Linked DNA regions of Rhinolophus ferrumequinum. Each later gene encodes a partner of the first gene's protein in a complex. Links are inferred from orthologs where the notes say so. Each region holds a gene or a part of one and is shown in the gene's direction. Other genes may lie near its edges.

The links.
Region 2: MED23 (region 1) and MED25 share a complex: the UniProt entries of both Homo sapiens proteins name them as parts of the mediator complex. The link is inferred for Rhinolophus ferrumequinum from reciprocal best matches to the Homo sapiens genes MED23 and MED25.
Region 3: the proteins of MED23 (region 1) and MED24 are in contact, whole or in part, in a cryo-EM structure (PDB 7EMF), measured with the Homo sapiens proteins. The link is inferred for Rhinolophus ferrumequinum from reciprocal best matches to the Homo sapiens genes MED23 and MED24. Residues at the interface, in NP_004821.2 of Homo sapiens: Asn150, Thr151, Val152, Ser153, Ser154, Glu193, Gly194, Leu196, Pro197, Trp199, Leu201, Gly202, Asn203, Ser206, Asp207, Asp210, Arg213, Tyr258, Asp259, Lys260, Phe263, Ser1133, Arg1139, Ser1176, Glu1180, Glu1182, Trp1183, Val1184, Tyr1186, Arg1189; in NP_055630.2 of Homo sapiens: Lys238, Thr239, Leu280, Leu283, Lys287, Val291, Glu295, Cys336, Glu339, Phe340, Lys343, Leu344, Thr345, Pro346, Leu347, Asp349, Lys350, Gln353, Lys384, Glu720, Lys721, Trp723, Thr756, Arg757, Lys758, Glu759, His760, Met802, Asp803, Pro804.
Region 4: MED23 (region 1) and MED26 share a complex: the UniProt entries of both Homo sapiens proteins name them as parts of the mediator complex. The link is inferred for Rhinolophus ferrumequinum from reciprocal best matches to the Homo sapiens genes MED23 and MED26.

The regions. Positions count from the first base shown.
Region 1 is NC_046286.1:78,968,692-78,976,479, reverse strand, and holds the start of MED23 (mediator of RNA polymerase II transcription subunit 23), read left to right. Parts: upstream 1-4,786; 5' UTR 4,787-5,019; coding exon 5,020-5,067; intron 5,068-5,411; coding exon 5,412-5,443; intron 5,444-5,601; coding exon 5,602-5,689; intron 5,690-7,732; coding exon 7,733-7,788. UniProt on the Homo sapiens protein: Required for transcriptional activation subsequent to the assembly of the pre-initiation complex. Component of the Mediator complex, a coactivator involved in the regulated transcription of nearly all RNA polymerase II-dependent genes.
Region 2 is NC_046298.1:44,851,990-44,859,306, forward strand, and holds the start of MED25 (mediator of RNA polymerase II transcription subunit 25), read left to right. Parts: upstream 1-4,303; 5' UTR 4,304-4,430; coding exon 4,431-4,699; intron 4,700-4,794; coding exon 4,795-4,840; intron 4,841-5,476; coding exon 5,477-5,601; intron 5,602-7,317. Other genes in the region: FUZ (protein fuzzy homolog), read right to left, coding at 167-277. UniProt on the Homo sapiens protein: Component of the Mediator complex, a coactivator involved in the regulated transcription of nearly all RNA polymerase II-dependent genes.
Region 3 is NC_046304.1:36,565,947-36,573,283, reverse strand, and holds the start of MED24 (mediator of RNA polymerase II transcription subunit 24), read left to right. Parts: upstream 1-4,320; 5' UTR 4,321-4,477; intron 4,478-4,660; exon of another isoform or gene 4,661-4,862; intron 4,863-7,337. UniProt on the Homo sapiens protein: Component of the Mediator complex, a coactivator involved in the regulated transcription of nearly all RNA polymerase II-dependent genes.
Region 4 is NC_046301.1:50,104,625-50,112,422, reverse strand, and holds the start of MED26 (mediator of RNA polymerase II transcription subunit 26), read left to right. Parts: upstream 1-4,784; 5' UTR 4,785-5,041; coding exon 5,042-5,113; intron 5,114-7,798. UniProt on the Homo sapiens protein: Component of the Mediator complex, a coactivator involved in the regulated transcription of nearly all RNA polymerase II-dependent genes.

The DNA.
Region 1 (7,788 bases):
GGTCATAAATTAATCTGACGAATTAATTGATGACCAACCTTTTGGTTAGATAGTATGGTCTCACAGCTCTAGGAAGGCTCATTCCTAGGAAGTGTCAGTGACGTCATCTTGTTCACCGCTAGGGATGGGGAACACTGTAACCATGGATCTGAGCTGAGGCCAAATTTTTCTCAAAAAAGGAAGGGCAGGTAAATGGAAAGCAGTCAGCTCTGATGGTCTTCACGGCAAGAAACACTGGGTCATTTCTATCCTATGAACTAGCGTAATCCAACTTTTGCCTTCTGTCTCATTTTTTTATAATTGGCATCTAGTGTAAATTTGCAGAAGTCATGAAACGAGCACTATTGGTTATATTATACATGTTCAGTAATCATAAACAGTTTGACTATATAGAAAAACCCAAAGAACAAGTACAACTATTATTATGACTAATATCATTAGCAAACAGGTAAAAACAATCAAACAAAATGGATTCTGAGTTCCATAGATATACAAACTTTGTCAGTGTCTTGAAACAGCTACCTCCCTTGTTGTCAGTGGCTTCTAATCCTCGAGGAATCTTTGATGTGCGTACAGGGGTAGATGTCCATTCGTGGTTAGGAGCCTGATAAGGGCCCTTGCCATGAGGTTGGAGAGTGTCTTTTATTTGATGTCTTTTCCAAAGAAACAACATCTAAAGCAGGGGTGCCCAAACTGTGGTCCGCGGGCCAACTGCCGTCTGCAATCCATTGTTAATTGGCCCGCAGCAAATTCCAAAAATATATCTAGTTTACTTAAATAAACCAGGTGAGGCAATACGTACTTCACCTCGAGTGAGTGGCCCGGCTGTTTGTGTATTTTACCTCATATGGCCCTTGGTGAAAAAGGTTGAAAAAAGTTTGGACACCACTGCTCTAAAGTCTTTAGATCCTGGGAGCAATTTGGGAAAGGAAGCAGTTACCAAGTTAGCATTTCCTAGACCTTGGTAATATTGTAAGATGTCTCCTTTCAATAATGTCAGCTCATAAGTTCCTTTAGCTTAAATGCATTGTGATACATGAAGGAATGCAAAAATTGAAAAATGGGGAGTCAGGGAGCAGCGAAGAACCAAGCAGCCATCTTGGGTTTCCCACAGCCCAATATATCCTAGAAGTTTTCCTACTATATTGAAATCTTAACCCTTAAAACCTTAATGTCTGATAAAAACTAAGAAGTTATCAATTAGCATTCTTTAGCTTGGACATTTTATAACCTCTAGAAACATTTTCATAGACATAAAATTCAATCATTAACATAGATTTATTTTTGTAAAACCCAGGCAAAACAAAGACATGTCTGTTTTACTTCAACCAACCAACCTAAGCTAGCTTTTGTTTACTAAGGACTCTTAGCTCATGTGAACTTGAAAAGCATTTGAGTTAGTTTCTATATTTGAGAATTTTAGAATATCCAATTCTTACAAGCACTTGCCTTTAAATTAATTTTAACAATACCATCTGCAGATAGAAAATTATCTCACATTTACAACACATGTATATATAGACATACACAGACAGACACAAACAGAGAACAGTTAGATTCTAATTTTGTTTTGGAGACATTTATAATTTATATCTCTCCTTGACAAGTCAAATTCCAGATGAATTCCCCTTTTAAAAAAAAAAGACAGCCATTTTTAATTCCCCAAAGAATTGAATTGACACCTAAAAGACATCGAAGGTTGATCCATTTATCTAAACCCTTTTACATAGTTCCATTTTTAACTTAGGGGAGAAGGCCTTTTAAAGTTGTGAAACAGTCTCTAATAGTTTCTTTTTTTTATTCAGTCTGCCTAATTCTGTAGCTAGCTTTTTCTAATTGTGTGCACAAAAATTTATTTAGAGGTAACAAAGAATCTTCATCTTAGCCATCGTAAATTATAAATGGGAGGCTCACTGTCATGGGCTTGGGTGGCTTCAGAGACACGATTTCCCATTTTACTTCTAGGGAAAACCAGCCTTTACATGCACAATTCTAGATGAGCCAAATGTAGTAGATATCCCTATAGGACTTCTTTATGCCCTAGAGAAAAATTTTCCTCAAGCAACCCCACAAAGATTCTTAGTCACCTAAGCATACCCGAGCAAGGGCCAGCAAGAACTTACTAAACACTGCTAGAATCGAGACATTTTCCAAGGCACAGATTCCTGTCTCAGGCTCCTCTCTGAGGACACACTCCACTCCAGGGTGCGTTGCCCTGTCTCTTGGGCTCCTGTCAGCTTCCTTGGGACTGGCTACTCTAATGAACTGGACAATTGCACCCATCTCCGCTGCACCGAATTCAGGGATCTGAACAACTGACATCACCCCATTGGCTATAGGGGTTGGGAAAGCAAGTGCCTTTTCTCTCTTGGAGCTAAAGATTGTTCAGTGTCTCATTTGACCAGCAAAGATTTTGTTCAGACTCCCAGTAAGCAATCCAATTAAAAAGCCAAAACTTAAAGCAGCAGCCCATTTTTTTGTTCTTTCCTTGGGTAATCTCAATCCTTATCCATCTCGAGGATTTTCTAAGAAGAGCTCAGATAAAGTTATGACCTGGTATTCAAAGCAAGGAGGCCCAAAATTCCAAGAGAAACTCACCTCAGTTTAGCTGATGAGAAGCAAGGAGCCAGGGGGGCACATTGGGCCCTTGCTTGTACCTACGTAGTACCAGGTCCAGGTTTCTAGGGTGGTCCTGGATAGGCTGCTTCAGAATCCTGCCAACCACGCCACCTAAATGTCGATAAGGAATGTCCAAACCTGTATAGATTTTTTTATGAGTTTATTTGAGCCAAACTGACAACATATGCCAGGGAGCAAGATCTCAAATGCTGTTTTTACAGCTTCTTTTATGCATTGGTAATTAAGGAGGGAACATAAGGAAGATTGCACGCAGGTGGGAAAAAAACAAGGTGAGGGTTGGATTACAGGATAGTTAACAAGATTATGTGTTCTCTTGAGGGTTAATACCCTCTTCCAAGGGCATTACTTCTGGTATTTCAAAGGTATGTCAACCTAGATGCACAAGAACAATGGACAGAGCTGGCTTAAAACCTTTCACTAAGGAAGTTATAGGCCTGGGTAATGAGTATCCACATGACCTGCCCAGTTAGGAATTCAGATCAGATCACCCAGTGAGGTTACTTCTCATAGAACCCCCTAACCCCCTTTTTTTTTCCATCCACAATAAGTACAAAATCTAAATATTGGCCCACAAGTTATGAAATCAAAGTTTTTATAAGTCCTCACCACCAACTGGTGGATCAATAAATAATCTGTAGTTTAATCATTCAACAAAATGATACACATGGATGGATCTCAAAATATAATGTGTGAAAGAAGGTAGACACAAGATTACATCATATGTGATTCCAATTACATAAACTTTAAGAACATGCAAACTAATTAATGGTTACATAAATTAAAACAGTGTTTGCTGCTACAGGTGGGGTTGACTGCAAAGAGAGCAGAAATTTCTGGGGTGATAAAAGTATTCCATGTCTTGATGGAGGTGGTAGTTAAACAACTGTGAACATTTGTCAAAATTCATGGATCTATACATTTAAAATTTATGTATTTCGTTGTATATAAATTATACATCGATTTTAAAAATGAATATTGGGGGAAACACATTAAGAAGATCTAGAAATAGATGGTCAATTTTTATTCAATGAATGGAACATCAACAAGAATGATATAAAAAATAATTTGTATTTAGTTATGGCCAAAACATAATTCTTTCCTGGCTATTTTACCTTGTTAACTGTACAAGCCCTGGCCCATATTAAGATTAGCTGGCATTTGCAGAGAATACACTAATTTGGAAACAGAGTGGAAGCATGAAAATCTGCTTGATAGTAGATGAAAACCATTTTAGAAGAGTATGTGATTAAAGGTAATACACTATAAGATAATTTGCTTAATATAGAAAAAAGAACAATAGATTGTTAGGGAACTTGGGTTTTAATAATTCTAGGTCTGTCATCCTAGCTTGGACATTCTGCAAAATTGATTACTGCAATAGTTCATTAAACACCTAACACTGTTTCTAGCACTGAGTGAATGGTGGATAAATACTCCATAAATGAAGTACTCTACTAGTTATGCACAAAGGTGTTTTATGAGGATAAAGAAGAGACCCCTAAATCAGGCTGAAGAAGGACAAGGTTTCCCGCTTGAAGGAATAAAGCCATGGGGTGTGGGGAGGCACAGCAGTCAGAGCACTTAGGTATCTGCTCTGACCACACCAGTGGATCAGCCTTCCTCTTTGCCACCCTTCTCCACCCCATCCCCATCAAATAGGCTACAGGTATTCAGTAATTGATAAATATTATTTTTAGATTATGATAACTAAAAATGGTAAATATTGTTATTCCAATTAAAAATCAATAATGATGCATTCTTTTTTTTAACATTCATTGAAAACCTGCTATGTGTCCAGCACTGAGGTTACCATCGTTGAGAAGATATGATATCTGTGGTCAAGAAAAGTATTGTTTCAACTCCTGGCTCCAGGCTGCTGATGGAGCTGCAGGACAGAAAGTCAGCAGCCATCATCAGTTTGACCCAGGGTGCAGGGTGCAGCAGAAACATTGCCTGCAGACTGCAGCCCCTGGCATCCAAGCTTTTCTCCTTTCCAACATGCAAAAGCTTTAGACCCGAGGAGGAAGCAACACCCGCTCCTGCCAGGAGGTGGCGGCCTGCAGCGGACAACGCCTCGACGTGACTTATGCTCGAGGCGCCGCTTGGGGGCGCTCTCTTCTGACTCTCGGAACCATCTAGCTAGGTCCCTGGTTTCCGGGGGTTTTGTAATCGGAAAGCACCATGAGCTTCCCGGTGCTTCCTTGCAGGCCTCGGTTGTTTGCTGGACCTTAGAGGGGACTCTTTCATTTGAGCGTTTGGGGTGGAAAGCGATCGGTTCGACCTGCGATTTCCTGAGGGCGTCTCCGCCCCTCTTTCTATTCCCCGGAGCTCGGGCCTGATCGCAGGCCGCGCGCCGGGCGCCCAAGGAAGGCGGGGGTGATGGTCCAGATGGAGACGCAACTGCAGAGCATTTTTGAGGAGGTGGTGGTGAGTGAAAGGGTCAGGGATTCAGGACTACGGCCGGGCGAGGGGGAGTCTTGGGGGCATCGGATTAAAGAATCCGGCTCGGCCAACTTCTCCCCACCTCTCCTTGGTTGTGACACTGTGTATGTGCGCAGAGGTTTAGCGATTCTCAAACTGCTGTCAAATTCAAAGCCTCCTTGAAATCCACAATAGGCATTGTGACAGGTCAGGCAGGCATTGTTAGTTTCTGCGTGTAGGTGGTTAAGGTGACTTGCCCTATGTTACACCAATGTTTTGCTCGGGGAGGCCCCTCCTTTTTTTTAGTTTTTAATTTTTTATTCATATCGTTTTGTTTTGTTTTGTTGCAGAAAACGGAAATTATAGAAGAGGCTTTCCCTGGGTGAGTATATGCAGAGCAGATTTTTGTGTTTTTACGTGGGTGTATCTTTGTTAAGATTTTACTCAGTTTTGTCTTGGAGATTTATAAGATCCACAGTTCTGGTTATGTTGAATTACCTTTTTAAAACTAGTGGCAAATAACGTGATTTTTGTTTATAGCATGTTTATGGACACCCCTGAAGATGAAAAAACAAAACTAATTAGCTGTTTGGGAGCCTTCAGACAGTTTTGGAGTGGTCTTTCCCAGGTGAGTACTGCTTTTTTAATACATTCAGCTAATAATTTTTGACCCCTTCTTTTTTTTACACTTACTTTGATGTTGCTGTTGGAAAAGGGGAGATAAAATTGTCGTCATCTTTTATGTCTATTCTGGTTTCCATTTGTTTCAATTTGTATTCCAGTGGGGAACCTGTATTGAGAATTCAAGTTGATGACAGTACAGTGTGAGATGTCTTTAAAAATCTCCCATGTTAGATTACATAAAACCATTTTTATCCTATTCTCATTTATTTGGTGTACTTGAAAACAGCTGTGTTAGGGATTATAAAGGATAAAAATTTCATTTTCTCAACAAAGGAACTGGCACAGTATTGATATAGAGATACTATAGTAAAGATACAGAAATGCCACAATAAGGATCCTATTTTATAATAAGGATATAAAGATATTATAATAAAAAAGAGGAAAGGAACAGTAAAACTTAATAACAAAGAACAGTCACCAGAAAATATATCCCTGAAAAAGACAAAATGTGTGATCCTTAAAGACTTCATTGTCTTTTTATGGTTCATTATAGGTAGGAAAATGTTTGCAGTTAAACCATTGGTGGTAAGACTTGCTACTCAGACATGGATCACGTAATGATAAAACATTCTTTTTTTAAAGTGTTGTAATGCAAAAGGTACAAAAAGGTGGACCCAATTAATAGTCTGTCTTTCATCTCTTTAGTTTAATTACCTTTTCTTTTTTCCATCTGTAGCCAGGATTCTTAGTTTGTATTTCCTTCTAGAAGTATTTTATGCATATAGAATCGTTTTTATAGAATGGTCATATATTATGTACACTGTTCATTAGCACCTTGCTTTTTTTCACCCTTAATACCAGAATTAATTAATTCTGAAAGTAATTCTACAACAATCCACTAAAAATTAAAATTTCTGACTTCCTTCCTTGCTTCCAGCATATTTGTTTTATGGCTACACCTTCCTTTTTTTAACCAGTCCCCTAGTGACTGACATTTAGGTTGCTTCTTATCTTTTCCACCTTAAACAATGCAAAATGATTAATGTTGCACATGGGACAGAGAATAAATTCATGGAAATAGTATTGCTGAATGAGCAGGTATGGCTATTTGTAATTTTTATGGAAATTGCCTGGTTGCTTTCCATAAGGCTCACCAATTTATACTCCTAAACATTAGCAATATTTAAGAGTATATATTCCCTACAGCTTCACAATAGAGTGTTAATGAACTTTGTGATCTTTGCCAATCTAAAACATGAGAAATTTTATCTCAGTATATAATTTTATTTTGCACTTCTCTGATGTTGACCATCTTTCCAAAAGATTTAAAATGTTTGATAATTTGTTAAACATTGTATGAGTTAAGGTATGGCCCTTATCTGCAAGAATATTATATTCTAATGAGAGAGCCAAGAAGAAAGTAATATTTGTAAATCCACATTATATGATCAACAACAGAAGTATGTGTTAGGGACAGTGGTAATGAAGAACAACGGGACATAGGCTCTTTTGAGGATGTCCTATAAGACAGACTTCGATATGGGCAGTACATTTCAGTATCAGATTTAAAGTCACAGAAATCTAGAAATTTGTTCTGTCGTTGGATTCATAATTGATTGGCCTTTTAAGGATTAGATTCACACTAAATTCTCATGAGACTAATGTACTAATCTGTAATGGATTCCCCACCACCCCGTGATAGGAATATCTAAATCTGCCATTAAGGTCACGGCTTATAATGCCTTACACAATCTGTGTTAGAGTTTTCTATTGCTCATGAATATGTTAATAAAATCTTACTCCTTTTGGAGGTTCCATCTAATAAAAATAGTGGGAGTTTAGTTTCTATAATGCTAAGATTTTAAGTTTAACGTAGCTGAAATATTAAATCTGATTTTTTTTCCTTTTTTTTAATTGTCTGCATCCCTGAATGTTTATGGTGGAGTGTTTCATTCATAGTCTTGGTATACTCCAGGTGTAGCATTAGCTATGTTAATTACGACATATAACTTTAGGCCTAAAATGTAATCATTTTCTAACTTTCCAGGAATCTCATGAACAGTGCATCCAGTGGATTGTTAAATTCATTCATGGCCAACATAG
Region 2 (7,317 bases), on another chromosome or scaffold:
CTACTTTCTAGATCCCTTGGGCTCCTCCTCTCTCCGGGGAACAAGGATTATTGGTCCATTACTCCCTCAGCCCTCTAAACTCAACTGAAACTTCCCCAGCCGCTACTTTCTTGGAGACCCAGAGCCCAAGCTCCTAAACCCCTAGATCCAGGCTCCAGGGCCCCACCTGCTGGCGGGCGGGGGTGCCGCCGCGGCTGCTTCTGCAGAACAGGGGGACTCCGCTGGAGGCCGCGAGACACAGCAGATGTACGGTGCCCTCCGTCCCCTCCTCCCCCATTTCGAACCCCCCCAGACCTCCTCGCAGGTTCGGTTAGTGCCAGCTTTGGAGCATGACCGTAGTCACACTACTAAGTAGGGTTGCCGTCCAAAGCCGCCAGAGGGGTGATGGGAAGTTCAATGGAAGAGGACTACATCCCCGCCTTCAACCAACTTAAACCCCCCCTCACTCCCTATTCCAGCACCTCCTCCAAACCCTGTTCAAGTCTCTTCCGCTCTAGCCGGAAGTTACAATACCTTTAACAAAGATGGCGGCTAATTGTACTGGCAAAGCTTCATAGTTTCTCCCTAAAGTGACTTCACTTCACTTATTTAAAGAAGAGAATAAAGAGCCCGGCTTGAAGGTGGTGACCGCCCCAGGGTTTGCCTAGCAACCATCACGTAGGGTAGGATGTTTTATGTTCTAAATCGATAAACAGCTGTGCCCCACTCAAAGATGGCGACGGTGCCATGGCGTTGCCTAGTAACTACATTCAGTCTCATTTCCATCCTAAAGCTGTAAACAGCTGTGCCCCGTTCAAAGATGGCCGCATGACAAACTCTGAGTACCCTTCCCTAGAGCAAAATGGAGGAGAATACCATCTCCCCCCCACCCTCGAGGATGGTTTGGTCCGACGAGCGTTGCCTAGTAACCACCAAATTAGATGGTGGTGGTTAACAGAAAAAGATGAAATTCTTCATTTTTCCAGAATCGTAGAAATATTATTTTTGTAATGAATTTATACATGATCGTGTATCATGCAGAATATGAAATACTCTTCCCCAAATCCTTTCCTCAAAAATAGAAAGTTGACAATTTAACACAGCATAGTCACACATTTTCACAAATATGGCCAATATTAATCTGAGATCTACAAGGAGGGTGTGCTTCTACTTCTACAGATTGCCAAAAGTACCAACCTGAGGCGAGCTCAGCTGCTCTGGAAGGCCCTTAGCTGCCTTCATGCTCTTGGTAACGCCAATGCAGCTCCTTCCCTGTACAGGCAGTTCTACTCCCTCTTTTTTGTGTTAATTTCTGGTTCTCTGTCTTTTTTTTTTGGACGGGGGTCGGGTGGGGAGGGGATACTTGAAGAGTACTCCTACCATAATGCCAGAAGCTGAAGTCCAGTTTAAAATATCTAATTGTTTATTTTACCATTTGTTGTACATTAATGGAGGTGGTTAGAAATCAGTTAATTCAATTAATCGTATATTCACTTTATCGAAAGAAAAGTTTCCTTATACTTAACGGCAGATTTTAATTTTAGGTACTTTTTTAATCTTACCTGTTGATCATTTTTCTTTTCTCAACTTTACTTTTATTTTCCTTGTAATTTTACTAAAAATTGAATTACACGCATAAAAAAGGAGGGAGCTACTTTAGATTAAAAGAAATTTGCGATATAATGTCTAAATATGTTTGGATCCTGATGCAAATAAAGCAATTGTAAAAAGACATTTTGGGAGAACTGGGGAAATTTGATTATAGATTTAGTGTTAGGTTATACTAAGAAATAATTTTGTTAGGACTGATAATGGCATAATGGTTATGTAAGAAAATATAACTTTTTAGAGATGGCACAGGTGTGGGGACAGAGCCCCAAAGAGCAGTTTCCAGGCTCTCAGCCTCACGTAGAAAGGTGCTGGCTCGGGTAGTAGATGGCCATCAGCTGTGGCTAGTTGGCCGTCAGCTGTAGCCCATTAGCCAATTGGCTACTGATATAACTGCCGTGGCTATGATAGAGAGTCGTCAGTCGGTTGGCAGAAAAGCGGACAGCAGGTCACACATCGTGTGAATCCAGCCTCCAGTGAGACTATAGTGGTATGACTCCCCTACCTATGGCTCCATGGGTGTTCCTTTTTGGCCTAGCCACATTCTGCGTTCTTATGATGTGGGGAACGGGAGCAGAGACCCCCACAGGCCGCCTCGCACGACATGAGCATACACATGGAAAAGGCTGGAAGTTCACAATATGATTTATACTGTTTTGTAATTTAATTTCTCTAAAGGTTTATTTTTATAGTATTCTGCAAAAGTATCAGTCCACTATGGATGGAGCTGGTGGCCTGGGAGAAACACTGGTCTTTTACCATAAAAAGCTATAGAAGCCATGCCTAGAACAGGGCACTTTTTTACCTTAATATCACCTGGGCTAGAGTGATATTAACTCTAGAGTGATAAACTCTTGCTGAGCACTCCGTGGGAGATGAGGGTGAGGTCAAGGTCGTCCCTCACCCCCAGGAAAGCCCTGGTGAATGACTATGGACTATGAGGAATTGCCTTCCATCCCTAATTTAATGGACCGCTTGATTGTTTGCTTGGGAACGTATCACCATGTAGTGGAACTGGCAGATGTTTGCTTTTGTGTCTCGATCAGCCGCCATGGAGAATATGTGAGAAAGACTGGCTGAGCCCAGAGAGAGTGGCAGTGCCCTGAGAGGCCCTGGCTGTGCCCGGGGAAACTGATGGTACCCTAAAAAGCCCAGGAAGTGTAGCTGTGCCCAGAAGGACTGGTGGTGCCCTGAGAAACCCTGGCTGTGCCCAGAGAGCCTGGCTGTGTCCACAATATTGCATTCACCTCGCACAGGGCCCCTTGCAGAAGACACTTGTCGCATAGATTGAGGTGAGACCCTGTAGGGGTGGAGTGTGGGGACAGAACCCCAGAGAGCAGTTTCCAGGCTCTCGGCCTCACGTGGAAAGGTGCTGGCTTGGGTAGTAGATGGCCTTCGGCTGTGGCTAGTTGGCTGTCAGCTGTAGCTGGTTAGCCAATTGGCCACTGATATCACTGCCGCGGCTATGATAGTCGTCGGTCGGTTGGCAGAAAAGCAGACAGCAGGTTGCATGTCGTGTGAATCCAGCCTCCAGTGAGACTATAGTGGTATGACTCCCGTACCTATGGCTCCGTGGGTGTTCCTTTTTGGCCTGGCCCTATTCTGTATTCTTGTTTAGGGAGGCGGGAGCTGAGACCCCCGCCAGACGCCCCTTGTGACAACAGGTAAAATGATACAATGATGAGGATTTGCTTTAAAACGCTTCAGCAAAGAAAATAAAAGCAAAAAGCAACAAAGAAAATAAAAGAAAAAAAGCAACGGTTAAAGTAAATGTTACCATCTGGGGACATGGCTTTTTGCAAAGGGAATGTATATACCCTTTTACCTTGAACTATATTGTCAAACTTCACGGGGGCAAGTTGTCCTGATTTCCACCCCCACTCGTCTACAACTGAGCCTCCCTCGTGAACATTCCTTTTTCCAATATTAACATGACAAAGGTAAAATGATATGTTATTGGACTTTCTGTTAGCACTTTGTAATTGAAGAGTTTTCCGAATATTTATTTGCCATCGTATGTGCGAAAAGCCTGCTTAGATTCCTTCCCATTAAAAAAATAAAAGATTTCTCCTTTCCTAAGTACGTACTTATTGATTAGTAACATGTATTTATGTAGCAAATTTCTGTCCACACATATGGTACAATGACTTTCCCAGTTGATCACATTTTTTTCAACTTGGTTTATGGAGTCTTTGGCAGACAAATTGATCAATACTTTACGTTTTCTGGCTTTGCTGTAATGGCAAGAAACTCTTTCCAGTCTTCAAGGTTATACAGCGTGTTTATTCCTTGAGATACTTTTACGGTTTCATTTGTTTAATTTACATCTTTAATCCACTTGGAATGTATTTCTGTTTTAGACCAGTTTCTGGCCCCTCGCACAAAACAACTATCAGGTGTTGCTTAGCAACCTCCACTAGGGTTAGCGTTTGGCTTCTTGGGGAGGGGGGGAGAACAGCTGCACTCCCTTCCAAGTTGACGGCAACCTTAAAGCGTTACCTAGTTACCCGTTTCGGACGTTATGATTGGACCGTTCACGCTCCCCATCCCCCCCTGAGCTAGAAAGAACTTAACTGGAAACCTCATCTTGTTAGAAAACAAGGGCAGCGTACGCGTTGCATAGCAACTAAATCTCCTGACCCTCCCATTGAGACCAGAGTCGAAACAGGTGCCCCGCTCAAAGATGACGGCTGCCGGTGCTGTTTCCAATGTATTTAGCTATGGACAGTTCTGCCAGTAATTCAGTTTTCCGCATCAGGCCCCGAAGTGGTTCGCTATGCCTAATCTGAGTCTTGTACGCGGTGGATGGGAACGAGGATGCAGCTAGAACGAACGCTCCTTGGATGCCCCGCATAAATATGGCCGCGGGTTCGTTAGCCGCACAGCGAAGCCGCCCGGCGCGGGGGCGCGTGCGGCGCAGGCGCACTTCCGCTCATCTCGCGGAGGTTGTGGCGGCCGTGGCGTCTACCTCGCGGGGCATGGTCCCCGGGTCCGAGGGCCCGGCCCGTGCCGGGGGCCTGGTGGCTGACGTCGTGTTTGTGATTGAGGGCACGGCCAACCTGGGGCCGTACTTCGAGGGGCTCCGCAAGCACTACCTGCTCCCGGCCATCGAGTGAGTGCCATTTCCGCGTCTCCAGCCCCGCCCTCCGGCTTCAGTTTTCCACAGCCTCTTGTCTGACCCCCACTTTTCACCTCCGACCCTCACAGGTATTTTAATGGTGGTCCTCCCGCCGAGACAGACTTCGGGGGAGACGTGAGTCTTGGAATTCTTGAGTCTGAGGGAGGAGGGGCCGGGGGTCTGGACTCCCGGGTCTGAGGGAGGAGGGGCCGGGGGCCTGGACCCCCGGGTCTGAGGGAGGAGGGGCCGGGGGCCTGGACCCCCGGGTCTGAGGGAGGAGGGGCCGGGGGCCTGGACCCCCGGGTCTGAGGGAGGAGGGGGTGGGGACCTGGACTCCCGGGTCTGAGGGAGGAGGGGCCGGGGGCCTGGACCCCCCGGGTCTGAGGGAGGAGGGGCCGGGGGGCAGGACCCTGGGTCTGAGGGAGGACGGGCCGGGGGTCTGGACTCCCGGGTCTGAGGGAGGAGGGGGTGGGGACCTGGACTCCCGGGTCTGAGGGAGGAGGGGCCGGGGGCCTGGACCCCCGGGTCTGAGGGAGGACGGGCCGGGGGTCTGGACTCCCGGGTCTGAGGGAGGAGGGGCCGGGGGCCTGGACCCCTGGGTCTGAGGGCCTGGACCCCGGGTCTGAGGGAGGAGGGGCTGGGGGCCTGGACCCCCGGGTCTGAGGGAGGAGGGGATGGGGTCCGGATTCCTGGCTCCCAGGGAGGAGGGGCTGGAAGCCCTGACTTCTCTGAGGTCCCAGGTGAAAAGTTCCTCTGCACTCCCCCCCCCAGTATGGGGGAACCCAGTACAGCCTCGTCGTGTTCAACACGGTGGACTGCGCTCCTGAGTCCTACGTACAGTGTCACGCTCCCACCAGCAGCGCTTATGAGTTTGTCACCTGGCTCGATGGCATTAAGTGAGCTTTTCCCCCGTGCTTGGGGTGGGTTGGGGGACCCTGTGAGGGACCGTGAATGGATGATGGCTGGGGTCATATTGAATGGCTGAAAGTATTGAGGGGGATTGTTTTTGTCCATATGTCACTTCTGTGATGGGTTTTGTGTGCTCAACGATTTTGCGATCAGGTTTGGTAGTAGAAAAAAACTTCTCCCAGTCAAAGAGGCCTTGGGCTCCAGCACCCACCTGGTACTCCATGTGTGATTCTCCCCTTTCTGTCTGTTGTTTCCCGTCTCTACCCCAGCCCTCCTTTTTCTGATTGGCACATTGAAGCCTGAGTGCAGGAGGGGTGGGGATAGGCCAGGAAAGATGCTCTGTGCTTTGCATCGAATTTTGTTAGTTTACGTTGTAGGCTTTTGCAGGTGCAGATAGATAGGGTCAGATCACTATAGAACTCCCAGACTCAGGAGTCCCTGCCACCTCTGTGCCCGATATAGCTTATCTCTAAAGACGGTGTGTTAATAGTACAGACTGTCCCTGACGTAAGATTTTTCGACTTTATGATGGTGCAAAAGCGATACGTGTTCAGTAGAAACCGGCTAGACAAAGCTGTAATGTTCAGTAGGTTAAATGCGTTTGTTACTTATTTGTTTCAACTTACAATGGGTTTCTTTGGACTTAAGTTGAGGAGCATCTTTACTTGTATTAGTTATTTATTGTATTACTCATCCACTGTTGCGTTAGATTACCCTGAAACATAGTGTCTTAAAACGACAAACGTGTGTTCGTTATAATCATGCAGTTTGTGTAAGTGAGGAATTCAGCAGTGGCTTAGCTGGGTGGTTCCGCCTCGGAGTTTCGTGAGGTTGCTGTAGGGATGAGCCAGGGCTGCAGGCATCCAGTGGTTTGATTGGGTCTTTGGAGGATCTGTTTCTAAGATGGCTCACCCTATGCCTATTGGCTGGAGGCCACAAGGGCTCCCTGTGGGGCTGCTTGAGTGTCCTCCCAACATGCACCTCCTCAGTTTCCTCAAACTGAGCAATCCAGAAGAAGCAGAGAGGAAGCCACAGGTTTTTTTATGATCAAGTCTTGGAAGTCACACACCATCATTTCTGCTACATTTTGTTTGGTACTCAAGTCAGTCCTGTTCAGGGTTTGAGGGGGTGTAAATACCAAGAGTGTGAATAGCAGGAGGCATGTATCACTGGGGGCCTGGTTATTGGGGTGTCATAGGGCTACTTGGGGAATTAAATGAGTTGATGATTTAAAACAGCCAGGTGTGTATTAAGTGCTACCTAAGGGTTTGCTATCATTTTGTGTCTCGGTTTTTTGGTTTGCAAATGGACGATGGTCACTACTTTGAGTCCACAGCTCACTACTTTGGGAAGATCCCCGGAGCTAGTCTTTATCCTGTGTTTAGCTCAGGGTCTGCGCTGTGGTCGGAGTTCATTAAACCACCCTTTCGTGGCTGTTGTTATCTTTGTACATTCATGCAGCAAACATTTGTTGAGTGCCTGCTTTGATCCAGGCTGTGTGTGCTGGATGGGCTGCTGAACGTTCAATGGAAAGATGACACCCAAGTTTCCCCCTCATGGTCATTACAATTAATGATCAGGATAAAGCAGGGTTTCTCAACCTTTGTACTGTCGGCACAGATAATTCTTTGTTGGGGGGGGGCTGTCCTGTGCGTTGTTCAGTAGCATCGCTGGCCTCGCTACTCACCAGATGCCAGTAGCCA
Region 3 (7,337 bases), on another chromosome or scaffold:
GCTGCTCTTTGCCACTGCTGGGGTGTGTGGCTGTACCTTTGGCCCTAATCTGCAATCCCAGCCCCTGGTCCCTAGACTGAATGCTCATCCCCAAGGTAGGGGGGCAATGATAGCATTTCCTGAGCACCAATAAGTTCCATCTTGCTGCCCTTGTCTACCCAGAGAACTTCTGACTTCTCCCTCCTGAGCACCTCACACAACAGGTATACAAAAGGGAGGTCCCCTTTGGCACCCCTGCCAGGGAGGAGGGCGGGCGACACCATATGCCTGACAATTATATGCTCCCCCCCCCCCACACACACACACACCAGCCCCAGACACCTCCATGAAAGACTGAGAAGTATCTCTGGTTCCAGGTGGCATGTATATATCCCCATCCTAGAGTGTGCCAGACCCTGGGAGGGCAGGAGAATCCACAGGCGTTGCTTATCATGCTAGGATGCAACACAGATGGAACACAGGTGTCATCCCATGGTATGCTATGTACCATTCCTGAGTGAGGTAGGCATCACTGTCTCTGGATGATGAAAACTCAGGTTCAAAGTCAGCAACTGGTGGATGGCAAACACCCAGCCTCCAACTCCCGGCCAGTGCTCTCTACCATGGTCAGGTTTGCCTCCCTGCCCAAGATGCACAAAAGTCCCCCAAGCACCTTTGCTGCCACGAGAACTAGAGTTGAGATTGGCTCCCAGTGGCCCACTACAGGGCATCCCCCCATTGTCCTTGCTGCACCTTGAAGAAGAGTTGCTGAATTAAAAAAAAGGGATTTGGGGGAGAGAGGAGTCATCACCAGACTCACAGAAGGAAAGAGGCAACCCAGAGACCCTGGATCTCAAGGCACCACACACCACCACATCGGTCCTTACTCCGTGCCTCCACCGTTCACACTAATGCCCCCTCCATGCATGGGTGGAGAATCTAGTATCTGTCAGCCAGGGCTGGGTCTTGGTTGATTGGTTGATGGTAGGTAGCTGGAAATGGTGGGTCCCCAGGAGAGACGAAGGGTGCTGTACTCTACACTCAAGAAGGGTTATGCTTTCCTTGTTATTTTGCTCCCCCACTCCCAGTGCTCAGACTTGTCCCAACAGAGATGCAACGATGCCCAAACATTCATGCCTGTGCCCCTAACTGGGAGGGGAGGTGTGTCCCAGGCTGAGATGCCAAGGCTCTTTTTAAGAAGCTAAAAGGCGAGGGTCAGAGGGCCTCCAGGTTACAAAAACTTGTCAGGGAGAAAATGGTGATGTGAAGTGTGAGTAGAGATTAGGGACCCACTATGCCTACCCACCTGCCATCTCATTTCTGTTCCTGTGATGTCTAGGAGATCCAATTCTCCACCAACCTTCTCCAAGAAATGCAGGGGACCCTAGCCCACAAGCTTCCTCACTGTAAGCATAAGTGCTTATTATGCACCATGCACTACAGGACATTACCTATTAGAGGAATGATACTTTGGTCTTTCATCCAGCTATGTGTTCCCTGTGACTAAACTTCAGTTTCCCCTTCTGTAGCAGCCCATGGATTCTCTATGGTAGAATCACTATCAATGCCTCCTGACCCAAACAGGCCATAGCCAGAGGAGAGCATGGCCAGAAATGCTTGGTGTCCCCTGCTCAGATTCCCTCTCTGGAAGATTTGCTCATTCTGCCGCCCTGGGCTGAAGCCTGCACTCGTAGGAGAGGGCCTCACTCAGCTCTGCACATAGTCTGGGCAGCTGTACCCTCAGAAGCAGGCTCTGAGGCTGGGCAAAGAGGACACAGCTGTTGGGCATCTCTGAGGTAGGTCTCAGCTGCCAGGGGTGTGGAGAAAGGCCACTGTGGGTCCTGCCAACTCCCGCCACTGCCCATGGGGGTGATTCTCTTCCAGTGGGTGAGTGTGGAAGGGAGCTCCTCACTGGCTTGGTTAGGAGCTAGTTGGATGTGGCCTGCACATCCAGCTTCCACTGGTCTGGTGTCTCCTGGCAGAGCCTGCCAGCCTGAGAGGTCAGCATGGGCAGTTGGTGACCCCTTTCCCTTCCCCCCTTTCCCAGCCCCCAAAACTTGCTGGCCTGCAGCTGCAGCACTGAGGAAGTGCAGGATGTCCTGAACAGCCAGCTGAGCCCCCCGCCCCCCACCCCAACCTCTCGATGACCCCAGAGACAGGGCAGGCGGGGACTGGGGGGCGGGGTTTGAGTATTAACAACCGGAAAACTATGAAGAACATCACTGCCAGTTCCCAGCTCAGAAAGGAGGTTGTGGCAGAAACAGACAAGAACAGGGGTAGACAGGGGTAGCGACAGGGTGAGAGTTATAGTCTGGCAGAGAAACAAGGAGAGGGAATCAGACACAGCAAGACAGAGCAACAGAGAGACAGCGTTAGAGAGAAATTCCAAGTCAAAAATACACATCACTCACCCAGACACTCACCAGCATACGGCCTCCTAAGGAAAGCTTCCAAGTTTAGACAGGAGGGCAGAGGTGGGAAAAGGAGCCAGACTCAGGGTGAGAGGCAGGAACTCAGCTGGGGGTGAGTGAAAGGCCCCCAGAAAAGGCTCAGACAAATGACTCCAGCAGGGGCAGCTAGATCTGCCCCACCATTTGTTTTTAGGGTGGGGATAAGGACTGCAGCACCCACTCCCTCAGCAGCCAGGATAATCCCAGCTGCTGGAAGTCACTGGACACTGCTTCAGGCCTGTGATTCGGCCCTCTGGAACCCCCCTGCCCCTACTCTTTGCTCTAGTTTCTCTGTCCCTTAAAAAAAAAAAAAAAAAGCTGAGCCTGGAGGAAGAAGACAGAAGGAAACTTAAGGGAAAAAGTCCATGACTATGTGTGCATCTAGGGGTGTGCGTCTGGAGTTGTCTGGACACCACTGTCGACCTGGACCTGTGACTGTGGACCTGCGCCTTGTGAACACCTTCTGCACCTGAGTCCCTGGGACTGTGTGCAAATCAGTGCACCTGTGTCCGGAGTTCCCACAGTCAATCCATTAACAAGTATTTACAGAGCACTTCCTGTGCTAGGCTCTGGGTGGGATCCAGCACTCTTGGAGTGATTCTGCCAGGTCTCAAGCTCACTATCTAGTAGGGTGGGATAACAAGCAACGGAGAACATTATCACAAATGCATGCCTTGCACCATTACGCAGGAAAGTCTTTTCACACAAATTTAATTTCCTTGGGAGCAGGGGTTTTGTTGTATACAGAACCTCAGAGATCCACAGTAGAAGTCCAGGAAAATACTTGTTGCTAAGTTGTGTATACATGTGTTGATGTGTAACTACGTTTGCATTTGACTGAGTAACAGCGACTGTCACGGCAGGCGTTGATGCCTGTGTGACTGGGCTCATGCAAGCACGTGTGTGCCTGTGAGTGACAGGGTCTTTTGTAATGTGCGGCGGTGTGCAATTGCTCTGTGTTCATGTATGCATGCGATAGTGACTTTTTCTGTGTGGGTGACAGCGACTCCTCCTTGCCCCTGTGTGTGACAGCGTCTCCGTGTGACCCTGTGCGTAGGTATGTGCATGGGTCGGTCTCCCGTGGGTGTGTCCCATCCCTCTGAGCTCCCCAGTGCAGCAGCAGCCTGCCACTTCCCTTGTTCCCATGTGGGTGTGTCCAGTAGCTCCTGTCCTTGAGTACGCCTGGGTGTCCCTGGGTGTGCATGTGGCTGTCTATGTGGGCATATCTTGGTGTCTGCATGTCACATTTGCTTCCCTTCTCATCTTGGACAACAGTCCCCTTCATCCCTTCCCCCTCCTGGGGCCAGAGCCATCATTGAGGGGTGGGCTACCATCCCACTGGCTGCCCTCCTTCGACCTCCACCCCTGGAAACAGTGGCTCTCTCCATTGCCCCTATCACTGCCCCCCTCCCCAGGCCTTTCTTTCACACGGGACAAGGGAGGGCCCCAGACAGAGAAGGGGCACCAGAGGAGACACGTTGCAAGGGGAGGGGAAAAGGGGGGGTACACACAACACAGGTCCCTTCCTCCCTCTCTTCCCCAACCACCCTAGCTTGCAACTCTAATCATCTGGGGACCCTCAAATACACTCCCCCCCAACACACACACATACACACACACACACCTCCACCCCACCCCCAGCCGCGTTTTTTGCAATTAGGAGTGTTGCAACCAGAGAGCCATGCTCAACTGGGGAGGCGGGTGGAGGGGGGGGCTTCCCTCTCCCGGGACCCTTGCAAGCCCACTCCCCACGCCACACGTACTGCCCTCCGCAGCTGGAGGCAGCTTTGCAAAGGCCACTCGGCCTCGGCCTGGAAGGCTAGGGGTGGGGGCTGAGGGGCAGGCCTCCCGCGCACCGTAAACAAACCGCGGCGCGGCGCGGCGGGCGGGGGCGCTCGGCGGCCGGCAGCGGGGCCGGGCCCGGGAATGCGCAGCAGACGGGCCGGACAGAGGCCGGGCGGGCCCTCGAGGGGGAGGCCTGGACGCCATCTCCGCCGGCGAACCCTGGGGCCCACCGACCTCCTAGCAACACCTCCCTTCCTCAGGGCGTAAGTTGCAAGCTCCCGGGTTGTGACAGGGTCTCAGGGGCGTCGGGGGCAGGCTAAGGTTGGCGGCGGGTCCCCCCCGGACGCCCCCAGCCCGCCGGGAGCTGGCCAGAGAGCCCTGTGGCTTTGCATAATCAATCGTGAGGTATTTGCATATTAATACCCCCCTCGCTCCCTCCCCCTTACCTCGGCGTGGCGCGCTGGACAGGGCTGGAGAGCGACGCGGGGTCTCAGCGCCCCGTGCCGGGGGCGTCCATGGGGGGCCGGTGGGGCCCGGGCCGCCCGCCTCCTGCGCCCGGGTGTGAGTGCGAGTGAGCGCGGGGGGGCGGGGGGCGAGTGTGGCGGCCCCGCGGCTCCTCCGGCAGAGGCGGCGGCCGCTCTTGGCTCCTCCCTCCCCCGCCCCGCTCCGGCTGGGGCTCTTGCTCGGCGCGCCCGGCCGGCTCGCGGCTGCTCCCTGCAGGCCGCCTTGCCGCCGCCGACCCGCGCCCCCCGCCCCCCGCCGCGCCCCGGGACCCCGGCCAGCCAGCCGCCCGGCCGCCCCTCGGCCGCCTCTACACCCGCCCAGCTCGGACTCGCCCTCCCCACTCCAGGCGTCTCCGGCAGGAGTGATACTGGGTGACATATTTTGAAAAAGATGTCATTTAAAAAATAGTCTTCAGTTGCTGGAAGAATGGAAGGTTTTGGTGTTTGCACCATGGGGATGGAGAAGGGAGTATTGACGAGACGCCTGCACCTTATAAGTAGGGCGAAAGTCTAAATACCAAACCCTTGGAGGTTTCGAGTTTGTTTCTGAGTTCGGGTCTCTTCTCTGCCAGTAACTCACTGTGTGACCTTGAGCAAATCACCCCTGCTGTCGGGGGCAGAGCTTCCTCAACCTTAAAATACCAGGGTTCGGCAGGTGACCCCTGAGGTCCTTTTAACTTCAATCATCTATGTTTTAAATTCTTTTGGAGTTTTACTCGCCATTACTCGCCATTTACTCGCTTCCTTCCCCTCTCATTTCTAACATCATTACCTGATCCACTGCCTCCCCTTTCAAATGTCACCCTATTTCAATATAGGCTCTTTTTATTCACTGTCATCAGCCATTTCCTCAACAATCTGGTCCTCTTGCTCGGCTGGGGAGGGGGCAAGACTTGCTCTACCCCATCAACTCTCAGCTTCACAGAGGTGGTATTTCCTTCCATGTTTACCCCCACCAAAATCCAAATGGTATCAGGGCCAATTTAAGGAAGGCAGCCTGCATAAAAATGGATGCCCTTCCCCTACCATCCAGCTCCCACCCACCCCATTGCACACACACACACCTGCACTCATGGACATAAAACCATCCCAGTGACGCCAGAGCCCCTTTCATCTCGGGATCTCCGAGCGCCAGGCAGAGCTCTAATTACCCCAGCACCCCCTCTGGCCCCGCCGGTTCCCCTGCTGTCATTAGCCCAGTTTTACCAGCGGGGGCCACAGCCTTCCCACGGCTTTCAGGGCTGGGCCCTGTTTCCACAGTCTGCTGTTGGAGTGTGTGTGTGTGTGTGTGTGTGTGTGTGTGTGTGTGTGTGTATGTGAAGGGGGAGCTGTTCTACAAAAATCACTTGCTAAGTGTGGGGCTTCTGACCAACAGCCTATCTGAGTTGGGCTGCCCTGGTTCATCTCAGTCTCAGCCACCTGCATCCTCATCTCTGTTGCAGCCACTTCGCTTACAGGGGGCATTGGGGTCTACCGTGCATGGGGAGGGGATGGAGCATCTCTTGGGACCCGCTGGAATCATGGGGATGAGAAGCATCGCTGGGATGAAAGCCTGGGGCTGCAGAGTGGAGTGCTGGTGATGAGGGGTATGCCATGGGTGAAGGGAGCCTGCAGTGTGGAGTTGTGGCAGCTGCAGTAGGGAATGGAGGCTGCAGTATGCAGAGTCAGCATGCAGTCAGTGAACCTGTGGGTTCGGCCTGGGCTCACAGTGGACATGCAACAGCTGCAGCGTGGGGCAGAAGGCTGCAGCGTGCAGTGTGAGGTGCATTGAGGGTAGCTATCTGCCCTTGATACCACCTCCTGGGTGATCGGGTTTCGCTGAAACCCTGGGGAGCAAAGCTGTGGTGTGCAGCGTTCAGGGTGCACGCTCTACCCTGTGTGGAAATAGTCTCTTGAGATTGGGCAGCCCAAGGAGTCGGGGGAGAGAATCCCAAAGCATGGGATACATTTATGCTCTGCATCAATCAGGCAGAACCAGGAGGCAATGGAGAGGTCTAGCTGTCATCTAATTAGGGCAGGGTGACTGAGTCCCGAGGGAAGATGACAGTACTATGGTTTTGTCTCCCCTCCATTCTGGCTTCCCCTACCACATCTCTCTATGACGAAAGGCCTTAAAGATACTGGGTGAAGGAGACTTTTTGAAATCCTAGACCCAGAGCCATAGAAAATGAAATACCTCCTGATCTACCTTTTTTTTTTTTTTTTACCCCAAAGGCACAGTGGGGCACCTTGAACTCAAAGACAAGTGTTCACCATTCCTATCTTCTCCTTACCTCTCTCCCTGTCCTTGGCTCCCAATAAGGGCTGCTAACAGACCTGGGCAAGGGCAAAGTGAAGGGCACACTGCCTCTAAAGTAGACATTTGGCCAGATGCCAGGTCCCAGCCCAGGTCCGGGCTTATAGCCCCTGTCCCTGTGTTTCATGGCCCTTTCCACCCCTACCTACGCCCCAATTCTTGAAGTTTCTAGCTCTTCTCAGAGTCATTTCATCTCCAGCTCCTCTTCTTTCCTTACCATGAAATCCTCACCTGGGCTGTCTCCTCCCATCCCCCCACCTCTGCTTCAGGGCTGTCTATTGGGAGAACAGGAAGGTGGGGCACAAGTGAGGATGGATAGAGACC
Region 4 (7,798 bases), on another chromosome or scaffold:
ATCCCTGGCAACTACCAATCTACTTTCTGTCTTTATGAATTTGCCTGATCCTGACATTTCATACAAATGGAGTCATATAAAATGTGGCCTTTAGTATTTGACTTCTTTCACTTAGCATGATGTTTTCATCCACATGGTAGCTTGTGTCAGTGCTTCAATCCTTTTTATGGCTGCGGAATATTCTATTGTATAGATGTACATTTCGTTTATCCACTCATTTATTGATGGGCATTTGGTGTTTGCACCTTCATCTATTATGAATAGTGCTTCTGTGGACAGTTACCTGGACAAGTCTGTGTGTCGGTTTTCTTGGGGGTATTCACAGGAGTGGAATTTTGGTTGGTGTGGTAACTGCCAGGCCTTCTTTAAACTTTAGTCTGGACTGGGCAGGATGTGGCCTCCACTGCATCCTATAGGCTGAAGTGAGTTGCAGGCCCCACCCAGAGTCACGGGGAGGGACTGACATAGGGCCTGACTGCCCAGAGGGTTCATCAGGGTCCTCATGTGAAGCCCTCAGTGGGGAACCTTGACATGTAGTAGGTACTCAATAAATGTTATTCTCTGTAATTATTATTATTACTAAGAATAATACAAAACTGGGGCAATAGGGAAAACACCAACTGTTAGGACTTAGATCGACATCCATCACTCAGCCTGACAGCAAATCCATCTTCCGGATTTGGGAGATTATGGGCACACTTGAGATTAGCGTTACCTGAGTCAGAAGATGAGAACCTTAGGTTACTAGAGGTCAGGAGAACCCGGCACTGGATGAGATGACCAGAAGGCACCACATGTTCATTCTAAACAGTGTGGAACTGCAGGCAAAAGTATCAGAAGAATCATCACCTGTTCTACCTGTCAGAGACAACTACTGTAGATATTTTGGTTTCTTTCCTTCCAGTAGTTTTTCTATGCATCATGTACATACGTATACATATATTAATAAAAGTAAGATCATAATGTATATATATGTTGCATTTTATCACTTAGTATTAAGTTGAGAGCATTTTTCCATCTTTTCAGTACTGGTTTTTAACGGCTTTATTATCTATCTAGCTATCTGTTATCTAGCTATATATCTTTATTTTCAAAGTGTAATGTACAGTAATATACAGCTTGGTAAATTTCTTCATGTGCATCCACCCATAAGACCGCTACCCCCATCGGAGTTATCGATTCCTTTGGTCTCTCCCAGTCCATAACCTTCCCATTTTCATGAATTGACCCCCCCGTTTATTCATGTACTCCCCTATTACTGGATACTTCAGTTGCTTCCACTCTTTTGCTCTTATAAATGATGCTGTGACCTCCCTTGTACATACGTACACATTTATCTGCATCTGATTGGTGGTTCCTTTGGAAAAATTTCTAGAAGTTGTGAGACATCGATCGGGTCAGAGGGTATGAGTGTATTGGAACACTCTCAGTTGAAGTGCTGCCTTCTTGTCAAACATTTTTCCTGGTCCACCTATCCAGAAGGGCTTTCCCCACCTTAGGGCTCCTGCTGCACTTCGCTCGGACAGTACAATTAAAATATTGGATTAATGGGACCCCGACTTGATTCCAGTGCTTGGCTTCAAAACTAGATCCTCAGGAGCAGGCTTTATTCATGTTTATATCCCACTTGAAAGCACGATAAAAATTGTCCCGTCTATCTTTGAAAGTCTTCCTAAAAGCAGTGACATTTCAGGGGCTTTTCAAAACTGTTGAAATTGGTTTCACTTCTAAAGTAAACAGGACTTGCTGCAAAGCCAAGCAGAACCCTGAGACCTCTCTCTAGGTACTTCTGAGATCAGTGATATGGCTGAATGAGTTAATAGGAGAAAGTGGTTTTTAAAAATTTCCACCAGACTGTTAAACTCAGAGCAAACATATGGGTCAAAGTGAGGTGGTGGATTTGCTCATGTTTGTTTTTCTTATCAATCACTGGAACGCTTACATACATCATTGGGATAAGTCCAGTAATTTCCTCTCCTTTAAATTGCCCACCTCCCAGGGGTTTGTGACGCAAGGGTACAGCGGCTTTTCCCTTTAGCAGTGAGTCTGCCTAGGGCGTTGCTGCTGTTGCTCCTTGCTGTCACATGGTGTCGCTGTTGAACACTTGTCTTGTGCAGTCGTGGGAGCCCTCCAGCTCTTGACTTCCTTCTGGGATGCCCTTACTAGTCTGCCAACGGAGGAGGACTCCACTCTCTCACTGCCAAGACTGCCTGGGCATGCTGTGCACTCAGGTCCTGAAACTACATTCCCTCCCACTTCCATGGCAAGAGCAAGCCATGGACTCAGAGCCACTTCCTCGCCCTAACCTTTGGGGGCTGCCTCACTAAGAGATGAGGCCGCTTTCCCAAGGACATTTCAAGCACAAAAGATCTTGTCCTCTCAGATTGGTGGAACCAATGGTCTCTGTATCTAAGTTAAGGGACATATCATGGGGAAGAACGATTACAGCACGAGGATTTACCTTGAGCCCCATCTTTGCATAACATTTCAAGTATCTTGAAAGCAGAAAGTCAGCTAGTGAAATTCAGTATCTACCATGGACGTAAGAGAAGCTGCTAACTTTCAAAACTGTTCCGTGGCGATCTTTCTTTACCATGACAAGCATACTTTGTATATACAGTAAGTCCTCAATACTGTCAATAAGTTCTGTACTTTAAGTAAAATGACATATGAGACCAGTTTTAACATAGGCTAATTGATAAAAAACGAGTTAAGTTCCTATGGCATCTCACCATTATAACGAAAACGTCGTTTTGTTACATTATTCGAGGACATGCTGTATGCTAAATATGGAATGAAACTCTGTGTCCATGTGCATCCTCATGTTGTAGAAAGTATTTAATAAAATACTTTTTCCATTATTTATTGAGCCCCCACTGTGTGCCAGGTCTGTGGAACTGAACCGCATAAGTATGTTTGGGTATGTGTATTCAACTGCTGTGTATCTGATGAGACATTCACTTACTTCACAAATATTTAATAAGCACTTTTCTATCTACTGGGGACACGGAGTTGAGTCGGTGCCCCTGTGGAGCTCATAGTCATCTTAATGTTTCTTCTTAGTTTAAAAAAAGCAGGTAAGTTGAGTGCTTTCCAGAGTTTTCTTAAGTAACCTGACCCATGCAAAACAAATGGCTTATTCCCTGATTTAAAAAAATAAGACATTGTACATCTAGTTAGAAATTTAAGAGAGAGGCAGGACCGGATTATACTTGGGGGAGAAGCTTGTTTATTTTGCTTATCTGAAGTGAGAAAGAATATCTCTAAGTGGGCAGATTTCCAACTTGGAGCATGTACACAAAGCACCTCATGCTAAAGAGAGTAACTGAACGGAGTATTTTGCCTGTGTTTATTTTCTTCTACAAGTGTGATGTGAAACTTTTCACATGTGCAGAAGCAAGCAGCCACAACCACGGAAACAGCCGTTTTTGCAAATAAAAATGCTTCGCAGAAGCATGACAAATGCAAGACTAACAGGTGTAGGACAGATCCAAGGCGCACATGCGGTTCTCATCAGCTGCCTCTCTTCTGTTTTAAATCTAGGTCTTCCTGTAACAAGGAAAAGTTATTTCTCCTGAGGCTGCCACTAATAATCCACTCAGCCTGCCTTTCCACCCCTTGTCTCATAACAGTATTTCTAATAGAGCTTCCAGAGAGAGAAGACAGCAATGAAAGAAGGCAGTAAGGGGGTGGGGCAGAGGGTGGGGGGTACCCTTAGAATTGACATTAGAAGTTCTGGGTTTAACCTGTAACTCTGGGTGACTTTGGGCTGCAGTTTTCTCCTTTGAGAAATGTTTGGTTCAGAGAATGAGGGTTTCAATTTTCCAGCCTCTCCACGCCAAGCAAGGTAGAAGGGTCTTTTAAACCAGTGGATGTCAATAGGGGGCGATTCTGCCTGCCAGGGGACATCAGACAATGACTGGAGACATTTTTGGTTGTCGCCACTGGAGGAGAAGGTGCTACTGGCATTTAGTGGGTAGACGCCAGGGATGCTACTCAACATCCTACCAGGACGGCCCTACAACAGTGATCCGGCCCCAAATGTCACCGGGGCACAGGTCTGCAACCATGGGGTCGGCTCACGGGGCTGGTTTGGGGGCATTCCCAGCTGGGATGGCGGCTCTTCGGAGAGGTGCTTCTCCGTCTCATGTTTTCGGGACCCGGGCCAGCGAGGCGCTGCAGACCCCCGCCCTCTGGAGTGAACCAGAGCTGGAACGTCCCTTGACATCCCTCGGTCAGACCCAGACGCGCGCAGCATCACAACGTGGACATCCATCTCCCTCGCCCCCAGGAACGCAGATCGAGGGGGTGGGAAGGATCCCCCCCAGGCTTGGAAAACTTGGCAGCTTCTCCCGCCCGCGACCCCTATCACCTCTGTCAGTGCAAGGAAGGCTTTTCTTCCCGAAGAGGGGTGCTGCCGCCGCCCTCCCCGCCCTGCACAGCTGAGGCGGCACCCGCAGCGCCGAGTTCAAGGACTCCGCGCGCATCTCGCGTTTGGGTCGGGAACCTCAGCATCCCCAGCCCGGGTGGGGGCGGGGCTCCAGGCGGCGACCGTTGCCCCGCCCAACCGTTTCCCAACGGCTCCCCGGGCCGAGCAGGGGACTGGGACTGCGCGGTGGGCGAGTGCGCCTGTGCGCGCATGCGTAAAAGGCGAGGGGTGTGACCCAGGCGTGGCCCCGCCCAAGCCCGGCGTCTCCGCCCGCCCCATCTCCCAACCTCCTCAGCGTGGCGCCGACGCTGCGTGCGGCGCGGGTTACCCAGAGTGCTCCGCGCAGGAGCAGCTCACTGGAGTTTGGTTCTCGAGGCGGCGGCAGCAGCGGCGGCGGCTCCGGCGGCTCCTCCTCCTGCGGTGGCGGCGGCGCCCCGGGCCCGAGCCCCGGCTCCGGCTCCCCTCTCCGCCACCCCGCGCGCCCCCTCCTCCCCCGGCGCCGCGGGGAACATGAAGCTCCGTTCCCGGAGGCCGGCGAGTGAGTGACCCCCGTCCCCCGCCTCAGCCCGCCCGCCCGCTGGCCCGGCCGCTCCCCCCCGCCTCGCCCAGGCAATGACAGCGGCTCCGGCGTCTCCGCAGCAGATCAGGGACCGGCTGCTGCAGGCCATCGACCCCCAGAGCAACGTAAGTACCCGCCGCGCGGGCCAGGACCGAGGCCTCGTGGGCCCGGGACCCTCCTCCTCCCCAGTGCCCCTCACCCTCGGGGTTCCCGGGTACCCGCCCGAGGCCCACCTTCCCCCGAGGGCCGCTGCCATCCCGGCCTCTCGTCCCCCGGGCCTGGGCCCGGGGCAGGTCGGGCAGCCCGGCGGCGCTCGGTACGTGAGGCCGAGGCTTACGTGCGGCCTGGGTGGAGGATACAGACGGGAGCTGAGGCCAGAGCTGTTCCTTCCCTCCTGCTTGAGTTCTACGACCCTTGTTGCTCCTGTCGGAGCTTACCTGCCTCCCCTTCTCCGGAGACCAGAGACCCCCCGGGAAGCCCTCTCGACTTGGGGGAGGGGAGGGAGAAAGACTGTGGAGCAACTGGTGGCTGGAGTATGACTCCGGGAGCCCGTGCCTCCAGTATCTCGGCCTTCTGGGTGATCAGGGAAGTCCTCCTTCCTTCTTCTCCCTGCTGGAAGCACCTTGGCTTCGGAGGGAAACCCCCGGCCTGCTTTGCCCCTAGCCGGGTGCCCAGGGCGCGTGGAGAGGTCTCTTCGGTTCTGCGAATGGACATGTCTTTGCTGGATCCCTCTTCGAGTCGCTGCCAACGGAAGATGATCTTGGGGAGGAGGGTGGGATCCTTCATGCTGCTTTTCTGGGCCTAACTGCCCATTGCGTCTCTGACCAAGCCAGAGCCCCACTTTTGGGTAGGGAATTAAAGGTGATTGTTTTCTCTCCGGTTCACCCAAGAACCCTATTTCGGCTGTCCCTTCCCCCTATCTGGAGGTTCTAGCCAGGTGGTTTTTGACCTAGATGACAGGGTTAACCCCAGGGTGTCGCTTTGTCAGATGACCCTCCATGTTTGCAGAGGGATCTCCCCTGTCCCCCCTCCGTGTGTGTAGGGGAAGCCTCATTGTGTTCTCATATATTCTCCAAGGGGTTGTTGATGATAGGGGTCATTTTCCCCTGTGGCAGGAGCAGGTTAAGCAGGAGGAGGATGACATCCAGGTATGAAGTGAGCCCTGCATTTGCTGGGAGACCAGGAAGTGGCCACTGAAATCACTTTAACATACTGCAGATGGAAGAAAAAATTGTCTTGGGTAATTTTGGAGGGGTTATGATAATTGTAAGGCTCTGATTTCTCTATCATAAGTAATTCTCTTATTCCTGGTCTTCGGGCCCCATTAAGATTGGCTTGGTGGAAATTGCCTTTAACAAGTGTATACATTTTTGTTAGGACTTTGGGGGTGGAGTAGGCACAAGCTATATAAAACCTCCCAGAATTTTTGCAGTAACTGGTGCCGCTGCAATTCCCAACACTGAAATATTAGAGGATAAAGCAAGTGACATGAAAAATACAGCTTTGGTAACTTTTGCATCTTTTGTCGAGTCAGAGTGCAATTCTTGAATTCCATGTGCTTGCTTGCCTTCTGGAGTATCTGAGAGTGGCTGACCTATTAGCACTGATTCTTAATGCCACCTAGGAGAGCTTTGGGATCAGAAGGCGCTTTGACATCAGAAGGTGCTTTGACAGGTGGTCACGATGTTACAGATTAGGTGGGCAGTGACCTCAGGGATTCTAGTGTTGTGCAAGGCTCTAATCTAGAGGGTTCCTAGAAGTAGGAGGAGGGAACAAATCTCAGCTTCGTGTATCCTGGTGTGTGCAGAAACATTACTCTCATCTGAGCCCATGGCTGTATTACGTAGCATGGAATTCATGTTTCATGTGGCTTACTTTGGGCAACTCTAGCGATAGGTGTGCTAGAGCCCTACTAAAATAAGTTGATAGAATTGGGAAATTGTCTCTTTGAATATGAGCGATGAAGAAAGTGCCTCCTTTAAATGCTGCCATTGTTAGTGTCTGTGAGCATTGTTACTAGTCATTTGACAGGAGTGCGGCTTGGTTCAAACCGTGTATAGAAACTTAGAGATGTGGCAGAATAGTTTGCTGATGGAGAAGGTGCAACCACAGGGCTGCAGTTTCTTACGATTGACCTGGGCCCAGGTGAGAGTGAGGGCGCTCCAACAGGGCATTGCTGCCGCACGGGCGCTCTTCTCTGCTTTGCCCAATTATGAACACTTCTGGATAGTTGGTTGACACATATTTAAGATGCTCATGAAAAAAATGGGGACAGAGTTGAAGAGCCAACACTAAAATTAAACCTCTTCTGAGAGAAAATACAGAGAATTGTGTCATGTAATGCTTACCTTTATGGACATGCAATTATGGTTAACAAACAGCTTTTGCTTGAAAAATTAATGTCAAGCCGCTGACCTAATATCCACAAGTATCTGAAAAGTTAGGGAAGTAACAAAGTAACATTTACTGAGCATCTCCTTGACAAAAGAGTTCTTAAGAGGAAAGTTGTTTTTTTGCTCTAAATTCTAGCCTCTGGAGTATTTGAATTTCTGTAGCAGCAGGTTCTGAGTTAATTTCTGCCAACTCAGTACTGAAGTAAATCCTTTACACTCCTTTTCAGAAAGCAACTAACAGTTTTTCAGAATAATTGAAATCTTACTCTTTCATGGTATGTCAGCCCAGAGTGTTGAAAATCTGAAGTGCAGTGTGCGCATTTGTTCCAGCTTGATCTTGCTTGGTTGTGGATAAAGTTGAGGGCAGTGTCTTCTCCTGCCCAGAAATCAGTCACACCACTTCAGCACAGTCTTCTC